2 linked regions of the Ovis aries genome follow. The protein of the gene in region 1 purifies or fractionates together with the protein of each later gene. This does not show direct contact. Links are inferred from orthologs where the notes say so. Each region holds a gene or a part of one and is shown on either strand. Other genes may lie near its edges.

The links.
Region 2: the proteins of POLR2F (region 1) and RPAP2 purify together in Homo sapiens (affinity purification with mass spectrometry; 4 studies listed by BioGRID and IntAct, with this or other methods). This does not show direct contact. The link is inferred for Ovis aries from reciprocal best matches to the Homo sapiens genes POLR2F and RPAP2.

The regions. Positions count from the first base shown.
Region 1 is NC_056056.1:215,574,730-215,580,297, forward strand, and holds the start of POLR2F (DNA-directed RNA polymerases I, II, and III subunit RPABC2), read left to right. Parts: upstream 1-2,388; 5' UTR 2,389-2,483; coding exon 2,484-2,503; intron 2,504-2,976; coding exon 2,977-3,046; intron 3,047-5,568. Other genes in the region: C3H22orf23 (UPF0193 protein EVG1), read right to left, coding at 438-500, 1,716-1,818. UniProt on the Homo sapiens protein: DNA-dependent RNA polymerase catalyzes the transcription of DNA into RNA using the four ribonucleoside triphosphates as substrates.
Region 2 is NC_056054.1:69,554,138-69,559,034, reverse strand, and holds part of RPAP2 (putative RNA polymerase II subunit B1 CTD phosphatase RPAP2), read right to left. Parts: intron 1,494-4,897; coding exon 1,379-1,493; intron 1-1,378.

The DNA of each region.
Region 1 (5,568 bases):
AATCGTGTTTCTGCCAGCTAAGCTAGAATGAATAAAACTATGCATAAGACACACACAGGCCTCTCGTCTGGAGAGCTCATATGTTATGTGTGTAAGAGGGTGGGAGAGATTGCGGACTTGACAGCGTTCAGACTGTCTGACTGGGCAGGAAGTCCCGAATGGGCTGATGCCCTGTTAGGAAGGCCGGCTAGAGCTGGACTGTGGGAGAGGCTCATGGACTGGGACCCATGTCTTGTGAAGAAGCAAAGACCAAGACCCTGCAAGGTCAATTCCCCAAGAGCAAGGGTCAGAAATACTATTCAAATTTTGTTTGTGTGTGTGTGTGTGTGTGTGTGTGTGTGTTTAAAATTAGGTCCCCTGCTCCTCAACATGGAGAGAGCATTAAAATGTGACCCAGAATTCCTCTCCCCGGGAAGCCTCTGTGGTCAGCCTCTTACGTTTCATGGTGTCCATGATGTGGCGCTGTTGGAAGTTAGTCAGTTTGGATTCCTTCATCATCACTGCAAAACAAAGCACCTTGGTGAGGCTTCCTGGGCTGCAAGCAGACGCCTCATCTCACCCCACTGAAACTTAATACTGTATCGCCTCCTGCTCCCATTCTGGGTGCCTGCGTACTTGGCTTGTGGGATTTGAGTTCCTTGAACAGGGATTGAACCTGGGCCTCCCAGCACTGAAAATACTGAGCCCTAACCACTGGACCACATGGGAATTCCCTTCCTTTTCTACATTTTTCCCCCTATACCACTCATCACCATCTAAGTTCTATATACCTTATTTATTATTTGTTACTTTCCTCCTAGAATATTAGCTCCAAGGGAACAATAATTTTTGCTTATTTCTTTTCTTTACCGCTGTGTTTTCAGCACCCGGGATAATGTCTAAAGCACACAGTGGGCTTTAAAACTATTTTTGTTGAGTGAATGAAACAGTGAATGAACAAGTATTCATTGAGCACGTGCCAGGGGCTGGAGCTACAAATGTGAGCCAAAACAGGCATCATGCCCTGATGGCGTTCATGAACTGAATGTTAATTCAATGTTAATTCAGTGGAACACACTAGGTATCTGAGTACAGGTTGCACTAAGCCCAGTGAAGGAAAAGGTATTTGGTAGTGTGCAGACTATTAGGAGAAGGCAATGGCAACCCACTCCAGTACTCTTGCCTGGAGAATCCCATGGGCAGAGGAGCCTGTTGGGCTGCTGCTGCCCATGGGGTCCCTAAAAGTTGGACACGACTGAGCGACTTCACTTTCACTTTCCACTTTCATGCACTGGAGAAGGAAATGGCAACCCACTCTAGTGTTCTTGCCTGGAGAATCCCAGGGACAGAGGAGCCTGTTGGGCTGCTGTCTATGGGGTTGCACAGAGTTGGACACGACTGACGCAACTTAGCGGTAGCAGTAGCATCAGTGTGCAGATGCATAACAGTTGGTTCCACTGTGGTGATGATGGGTGGAGAGCAAATAAGTCTTCCCTGGGGAAACTGAAAGTGTGATCTAAGGGGTTCATGGGAGTTAACCACTCTGAAATTCTTAGTTCTTTGACTTTGGGTCACTTCCAAGTTGTAGGAGCTGGACGCCTGAACCTTTCTGAACTCCAGGCTTCTTATCTGTAAACTGAAAATACAATTACTAAGCCATAAGTCATGTAGGGGAGAACTGAGAAACAGAGGGTAACTGTAACCACCGCTCTTCTTGTGCCCTTTAATGCACTGACCTCTGAGCAGCTCGCAGGTCCCTGGGGTGTAAGTGGTCGGCTTGGGACAGCGCCAGAACCCTGTTCCTTTGGTCACCGTCTCCACCCTCTCCTGGGAAGCCATGGGAGGGCTCTGAAGAGGGAAAAACCCAATGAAACATTCCCGGTCTCCCAGATCCAATCTCTTCTCACACCCTCAACACCACCCAAAGTTTGGGAGCGGGTGTAGGGTCTCAAGAGATCGTGATGCCGCCTGTCAACATCGCGACAGTGCCCGATCCTCCCACCTCGAACAGATCCACTGGCAGATATATACACGCGAACAGAGACCTCATCCTGACCTGGCGCCTGTGGCAGGGAAGCCCCCTCGGGAGGAAAGGGGAGTGAGGGTAGCCGTGCCCGTTGTGTGATACGCCCAAACGGGAAACCTCACCCTAAAGTAAGACCCCGGCTGGGTGGCCTCTCTCCTCACAGAGAGCGGCGGCTGGGCTCCGGAGATCGTAACCAAGGCTCTGAAGCAGCAGCCGCGCCTGGTCCCTCCCAGAAATACTTTTGAGATCTCAGCCACTAGAGCTTGCAGCAAGCGCGGCTCCGGCTACCATGGTAACGCAGACAAACTGCTCCGCGCATGTGCCTATTTCTCGCCCCGCCTGCCTCCCGGAAGTGATTACCGCTAGGTCACAGCGCAGGCGCCGAGTACTCTTGGCATCGCGCGAGGCGGAGGTACGCTGTTCGCCGGTCTCCGCGCGGGTTTGGGTCTCGGAACCCGGTGGCTGCTGCGCGGGCGTCATGTCAGACAACGAGGACAAGTGAGTGAGGGAGCGAAACGACTTTTCCGAAGACTCAGAAGGGGCGGATGAAGCAGGAGCCAGGGTCGAAGGAAGTTGAGCCAGAGGTTTAGGACTGGGGGTGGTGAGGGCGTCCGCAGAGCCGGAGAAGGGAAAGGCTGGGAACTAGGAGCATAGACCCGGTCAGAGGCTGGGCGCGGAAAAGGCTCCGACTCGAGGGTCCAGAGAGGATCAGTGAAAAAGTATCTTTCAGCAAACTTCCACTGAGTCGGGCTCTATGTCTGTCTGTACCAAATGTTGATTCAGCTGGGGTCTCTTTCTAGAAGAGGCCCATAGTTAAGATGAGGACGTCAGATGACTGGTTTATTGAATGATTCACTGGTTAGGTGGATATTTATTGAGAGCCTCCTACGTATCACATGAGACTCAGATTTCTGCCCACTTTGATTCTAATAAGTGATGCTCTAACTAACGGGCTTCTTACACTTGTTCAGTTTTGATGGAGACGACTTTGATGACGTGGAGGAGGATGAAGGGCTCGATGACTTGGAGAATGCCGAGGAGGTCAGTACTGAGCCTTGGGCTCCCCTCTCTGCAGCCCAAGCTGCCAGATAGCCCGGCCAGTGATGGCCGACTGCATGCCTCTGCCTCCCGTTTGTGGTCAGGGTACTGCCACTTAGAAAGGGGAGATCTAGCCCTGGGTAGTGGAGGAGTCCTACAGGGTTGGCCCAAAGGCTTTTGTCTCTTGGACCACAGAGCATGACTTCTGGGGCAGTTAGTTTACTCAGTTGAAATAGCCCCTTCATTCATTGTGCAGACATGTGGTGAATGTTTATTATGTACCAGGAGCTCAGCAGGGTGGGGCTGAATAAAGAGCAAGGGGGAGAGTGACCTGGGATAAGGCTGGAGAGGTGAGGGCCAAGATCAGCCAAGATTTTGTAGCCTAGGGGTAGCGGGAAGCTGCTGATAAGTTTTGGGGATCTGGGGAGTGGCATGATCCAGTGAGGAATGAGTTGGGTGAACCAAGAGTCAAAGAGAGCCCAATTAGAGTGCAATCCAGGTGACATCTGTAGCTTGCACTTGGGTGCTGGTAGTGTTTGTGATGAGAAAACAGATGAGAGATTTTGGTGGATTGGATGTGGGGCTGAGAAAGTGGGAGATGGCAGGAATGACTCCCATGTCTCTGGCTTGAGCAGCTTGGTGGATGAGTTACTGGCGTCATAGATAAAATAGGGTCTTCTGTGCTGTGTGACTGGTGGAGGAAGAAGTGCTTTATGTCTTCTGGAGAGAGGAATCCTTTGATTTTTTTTTAGATTGGTAATGTGAAGGCCCTCTTTTGTGTGGGTTTTCCTGTCTGCCTAACACTCTGAGGTTATCTGTTCACTGAGTCAGAAGCCTTCTTCTCGGTTCTTCTGATGCCTTTCCATCTCTCTCCTCTTGATTCTGCCTCCTCCATGTAGTTCAGTCCTGTTCCCGTTTCTCTATTCCTAGTGCCTCAGCCTGGTTTAGATCTTTATTGGTTTTCATCCGCATTACTGCAGAAACTTGTTACCGGTTTTCCTGCCTTGAGTCTGCTGTTTGCCTTTCTGCTGCCAGAGTCGACTTTTTCTCCTACCCACATGATTGGTTACTATTGGTCTTGCTCAGTGTTCTCTCTGCTTCAGCCCTTAGCCTCTACAGAACGTTCTTAACAGAGTATCCAAGAGTGATCCTTTTAAATCTTCAGTCACTCTGTCTCTCCTCTGCTCAGAACCTGCGTCTGGTCACTTCTCATCTCATTCCGAATAAAAGCCAAGAACATGCACAAGGTCCTCCGTGATCCGACCGCCTGCTCCCTCTGTGGTCTTATCTCTTCTTGGTATCGCTGTCATGCCAGGGAAGTTCCAGCTCAGGACCTTTGACCGTGCTGTTCCCTCTTCCTTTTCCCTTAGTTATGCACACAACCTGCTCCTCAGCCTCCTTCAGGTCTGTGTTACATGTCACCTCAATGAGGCCTTCCCTGACCATTCTGTTTCAAATCACTGCATTTGCTCCTTCCTCCAACATCACCACTCGGACACTCCCTGTCTTTTCTCTCTGTTTTTATACTGCACATTTTACTACTTATTTTATTATTGTTCATCTCACTGTATTCCTGGGTTGGAAGATCCACTGGAGAAGGGATAGGCTACCCACTCCAGTGTTCTTGGGCTTCCCTGGTGGCTCAGCTGGTAAAGAATCCACCTGCAATGCAGGAGACCTGCCTGGGTTTGATCCCTGGGTTGGGAAGATCCCCTGGAGAACGGAATGGCTGCCCACTCCAGTATTCTGGCCTGGAGAATTCCACGAACTGTATAGTCTGTGGGGTCACAAGGAGTCGTACAGGACTGAGTGACTTTCACTTTCACTGTATTATAATGTAAAGCTGTATGGGAGAAAGAACTTTCATCTGTCTTACTGCTCTGTGTCAAGCACTTAGAATGCTATCTGACAAAGAGTAAGCACTCAGTAAATATTTGTTGGCTTAATTTTGTATTACAGAATTTATTCTCCTGTCTACCCTGTTTGCACCTTTTGGGCTTATCATACCCCATGATTAGGCATCCAGGCTGAGTACACTCTCTTCCCTCGTGTGTCTTTGCACATATGCAGTTCAGCCTGTCTGGAATGCCCTTTCTTTCTTTCCTTGTTAGCTTGGCAGCTCGTACTCATCCTTGGAGACTAGCCCAAGTCTCATCTCTGGACTGTATTCCTAACCCCCAGGATGAGGTAGATGCCCCTCGCTTTCTTGTGTAGTTTGTGGCACACTGCCACGCTTTCATAGCACTTGATGTTTTGTTTACTCTTGCCTTTTCGCTGGACTGTGAATTCTTGGCGAGCAGAGACTCCGTCTCAGCACCTTTATCATGTCTGGCACATGACAGATGCTTAATAAGTGGTTGTTAAATATATACATGTGTAAAGATGGGGTGCTTCTTCCTCTTCTTGGTTTGGGTGAGGTTGTCTGTGCTCAAGGACTTCTTTGTATGGGACCAACTCTCTCTGCTGGATGAGGCGGCTGGCTTTGGACTCCTGATCACGATTCCTCTTTCACTAGCTCTGAGACT
Region 2 (4,897 bases), on another chromosome or scaffold:
GGAAAAGGTCAATTTTAATTCCAATCTTATACAAGGGCAATGCCAAAGAATATTCAAACTAACATACAATTGTGCTTATTTCACATCCTTGCAAGGTAATGCTCAAAATCCTTAAAGCTAGGCTTCAACAGTACGTGAACTGATAATTTCCAGATGTAAAAGTTGGGTTTAGAAAAGGCAGAGAAACAGATCAAATTGCCAACATTCACTGGATCATAGAAAAGGCAAGAGAATTCCAGAAAAACATCTACTTCTGCTGCATTGACTACAATAAATCCTTTGACTGTGTGGATCACAACAAACTGTAGAAAATTCTTTGAGAGATGGGAATACCAGACCACCTCACCTGCCTCCTGAGAAACATGTGTATGCAGGTCAAGAAGCAATAGTTGGAACCAAACATGGAACCAATGGACTGGCTCAAAACTGGGAAAGGAGTATGTTCAGGCTGTGTACTGTCACTCTGCTTAATTAACATATGCAGAGCACATCATGCAAAATGCCGGGCTGGATGAATCACAAGTTGGAATCAAGATTGCTGGGAGAAATGTCAATAATCTCAGATATGCAGATGATACCACCCTAATGGCAGAAAGCAAAGAGGAACTAAAGAGCCACTTGATGAGGGTGAGGGAGGAGAGTGAAAAAGCTGGTTTAAAACTCAACATTAAAAAAACTAAGATAATGGCATCCGGTCCCATCACTTCATGGCAGACAGATAGGAGAAAAAATGGCAACAGTGGCAGATTTTATTTTCTTGGGTTCTAAAATCACTGAAGATGGCGACTGTAGCTATGAAATTCAGATGCTTGCTCCTTGGAAGAAAAGCTATGACAAACCTAGACAGTATTATTAAAAAGCAGAGACACCACACTGCCAACAAAGGTCCATACATAGTCAAAGCTATGGTTTTTCCAGTAGTCATGTATGGGTGTGAGAGTTGGACCACAAAGAAAGCCGAGTGTCATAGAATTGATGTGTCCAAATTCTGGTGCTGGAGAAGACTCCTAGAGTCCCCTGGACTGCAAGGAGATGAACCAGTCAATCCTAAAGGAAATCAACCCTGAGTATTCACTGGAAGGACTGATGCTAAAGCTCTAATACTTTGTCCACCTGAAGTGAAGGGCCGATTCATTATGAGAGACCCTGACACTATGAAAGATGGAAGCAAAGCGAAAAGAGGAGGGCAGAGGATGAGTTGGTTAGACAGTATCATCGACTCAATGGACATGAGTTTGAGCAAACTCCAGGAAATAGTGAAGGATAGGGAAGCCTGCAGTACTGTAGTACATGGGGTCGCAAAGCCTCCAACATGACTGACTTAGCCACTGTACAAAACAACAACATACTATAGAAGTAATAATTTATCAATACATACACACTCCCTTAGGAATTCTTCTGAAATATTCTCCTCTAAAAGCTGTTCCACAATATGTAGAGCTTTTCTCTCAAACTCAATCTTCTTTCTGACAGCTGCTTCTAGTTCTGCTTTCCTAAAATTTTAAAAAAAAAATGGTATTTAAGTTATTCTACTTAAGTTTTAGCATAGCCATTTTCTACATTTTAAAATTAAACACTAACAATGTGCTATTTTGCTATTAATGTTAAATGTATATTTTTAAATGCTGTTTCTTTTGATACAGTATTTTTCAAAAGGGAAACAAACTACTTTTTATTGACGTCTGTCATAACAGGATTATTTGATTTCCAGGGCTCAGAGAACAAGGAAGAATTTAGAGTATCCTACAAAAAAGAAAATAGGAGGAAATCTTTTTTGCCAGATAAAACTATCATTATTGAAATGATAATTTATCATTCTCTATCATTTCTCTGAGCTTTTACCTAAAAATGGAGGCTTTTCCCTTGAAATCATTAGAAATCAGAAAGGAATGGAGAGGAAAAATATTATTTTGGTTGTTCTCTTAAATACAAATTTCTTTGTGCTAATTCTCAAATGTTAACTAAATGGCCAGCCTGGTTTAACAGGACAGAGTCATACTTGCAAAGAAGTATTTACTTACTTTGTTGTAAAGTCTTACTAAATAACTATACCGCTATGACTATATGGTTCTTTCTGGAAAACAACAATCTAGGAAGCACCAGTGAAAATCTGTCAGCCTTTGCAGGCCCCCTGCATCATATAAAAGCAGAGGCTATCTGATCAAAAAATGGTCCTAGGACAGTGGTCCTCAATTCCCGCCTCAGTGTAGATCATCTGATGAGACCTTTTTTAAAAAAGATACCATGCTCAGGTCCCACTGCAGGCTAACTAAATAAGAATCTTTGAGGATGGGCTCTAATTAATGGCGTTTTCTTAAAAGTGCTCCAGATAAACCTAGTGTGTAACAGAGTTGAGAACCAGTACCATGGAACAAAGATACCAAGTATCTTGGTGACTTGTTAGCTATACTAGTTTCTACTCCCCCACCAGAACAACCCTGCTGCCATCATGGACCTTGACTGCTCTCATATGTGGACCTAGAATGTACTCAGTCCTGAATATTCATTCCAAGGATTGATGATAAAGCTCCAATACTTCGGCCACATGATGCGAAGAATGGACTCATTGGAAAAGACCTTGATGCTAGGAAAGATTGAAGGCAGGAAGAGAAGGGGATCAGAGGATGAGATGGTTGGATGGCATCACCGACTCAATGGACATGGGTTTGAGCAAGCTCTGGGAGTTGGTGATGAACAGGGAAGCCTAGCGTGCTGCAGTCCATGGGGTCTAAAAGAGTCGGACATGATTCAGTGACTGAACTGAACTGAGAATGTACTCACCTTTTCTCCCTACCTTTATTGACTGCGAAGACTTTAGCATCTAATTTCTTGCCTGGAGCAATATGTTTTACAAAAAAACAATTTGGAGAACTGACACAAGACTGCCAGCTAGGGACAAATAAGGACATTAAAACAAGAATTCGCTAAACCCAGGGTAGGCAAGGCGTTAGCAGGGAAGCTGGAAGAAAACTCAAGGAGTCATAGTAAGTGAAGACCCATTTATTCTCTCCCGACTGCAACAACAGCTGTAGCAGCAGATACACTGTATTCTCTCCTCTCACGACTAACCCAGTGGACACAGCCCTAACGCAGCCAAAAAGCTCTTCAGGTGGAGCCAATATATGTTTACAGAACAAAAGTGGCCCATGGCCAAGTGGGTACATCGTGACGCGTGTGCGCGGTGCTCTAAGTTATCTCAGCTGTTACATGACCATGTATTTACAAAACCTGGGGTCAGAGCGAGATGTCCTGGGGCAAGAGAGCCTGACCACCACCACTTTGGTTAATCTGCTCTTTCCCTACAAAGAAGAAACTTGTAATTAACACCTGTTCTCCCACCATTTCATCAAGACCAATCTTACATCAAAAATGTAAAAAGGACATGGACACAGATTAAATATTCTTTGTACTGAAAAAAAGTTTTCTCTGCAGTACCAAACTTCTTTGTACTGAAAATATTTAGCTTTATGAAAAGCCTTATTTTTCTCATTTCACTGCTTACCAATTAAAGCTATGTCATTTACTAAGATCAGAATAGAATGTGCATTAGGAGTTCCTGATTTAAGGAGTTAATTACCTCAACCTGCAGGAACAGCAAACTCCTCAGAACTGATGAATATCTACAGCTGTTTCCCATGGACAGCCCTGTCTCAGAGCACCCTTCTATCCCACATGACACATGGTGTGGTCTACAGCAGTGGTACTCAAACTTCTGGGCATCAGTGGTCCTTAATAATCTTAGTTTTTGCTTATGCAGATTGTATCTGTTGATAGTTACCATACTGGGATTAAAGGTGAGAAAAATTTCAAGCACTCATGAACTCATTTAATAGTAATATATACATTACACGTTAACATATTTTTAAATGAAAACTTCAGTGTGAATTACGGAATTGTTTTATATTTTCACAAAGCTCATTATAATTTCTGGCTTAATACTATTCAGCTGGATTGAACGTAGAAGTATTTTTCAGTAGGAATAAATTCATGAAGGATCACTTCTCTCAACACCTAGTTGGTTACCCTCAAGGATCATCCTGGGTGATCTGCCTGAAATACGTTTCAGCTTATCTATATTCTTCACATTGTAGTACTTAGAATAAAAGATAATCTCCTCAGGCGTGTAATTAGATCCATGTTGAAGAGACCTGCAAATTACTATTATCATTATTAACTAAACTTTACTGTTGTATTATTTTCTAAAGCCAAGTATAGTCATTCTGCTCCACAGGAAAACAGATCTCAAATTCATCTGATTTCTCCACTCCCAAATGATCTTTATCCCTAACACCTTAACACTTTTGAAACTTAAATTCTGTTACTTTAAATTCAAGTTTTATTTGCACTTAGAAAATCTGAATTTCTCACCCTAGCCTACTGGTACTGTTTGAATGCAACCCTGCCTCTAACTTATTCCTACACTCCTTTCTTCCTTTGCTCAGAATGCTTCACATGACCTTGGATATCTCTTTCTTTTTTTCTTGTCACATATATTGGTGCTTCTAGCTGGAAGTCTCTCCTCACTACTCTGTCTGGTAAGTGCCTACCTAGCCTTCCAGTCAGTCTAATTATTACTTTCTCAGAGAAGCTTTTCCCTGAACACATACCACCCTTCCTGCCAACCTCTTTTGTTTTTAGTTCCATCACAGCCTTTTCATTTGCAATTATGTATTTATTTGTGATAATTTAATTGATATTTCTCTGTTCTACTAGACAGGAACTGTGTCTATACTGTTCAAAATCATATCCTCAGGGCCTCTGAAACTGAAAAACTCCCAAAAGAGAACACAGGCAGAACAGCCTTTGACATAAATCTTAGCAATTTTTTAAAATGTCTTCCAAGATGAAGGGAAAGAGCAAATATAAACAAACAGGAAGGACCTAATTATACTTAAAA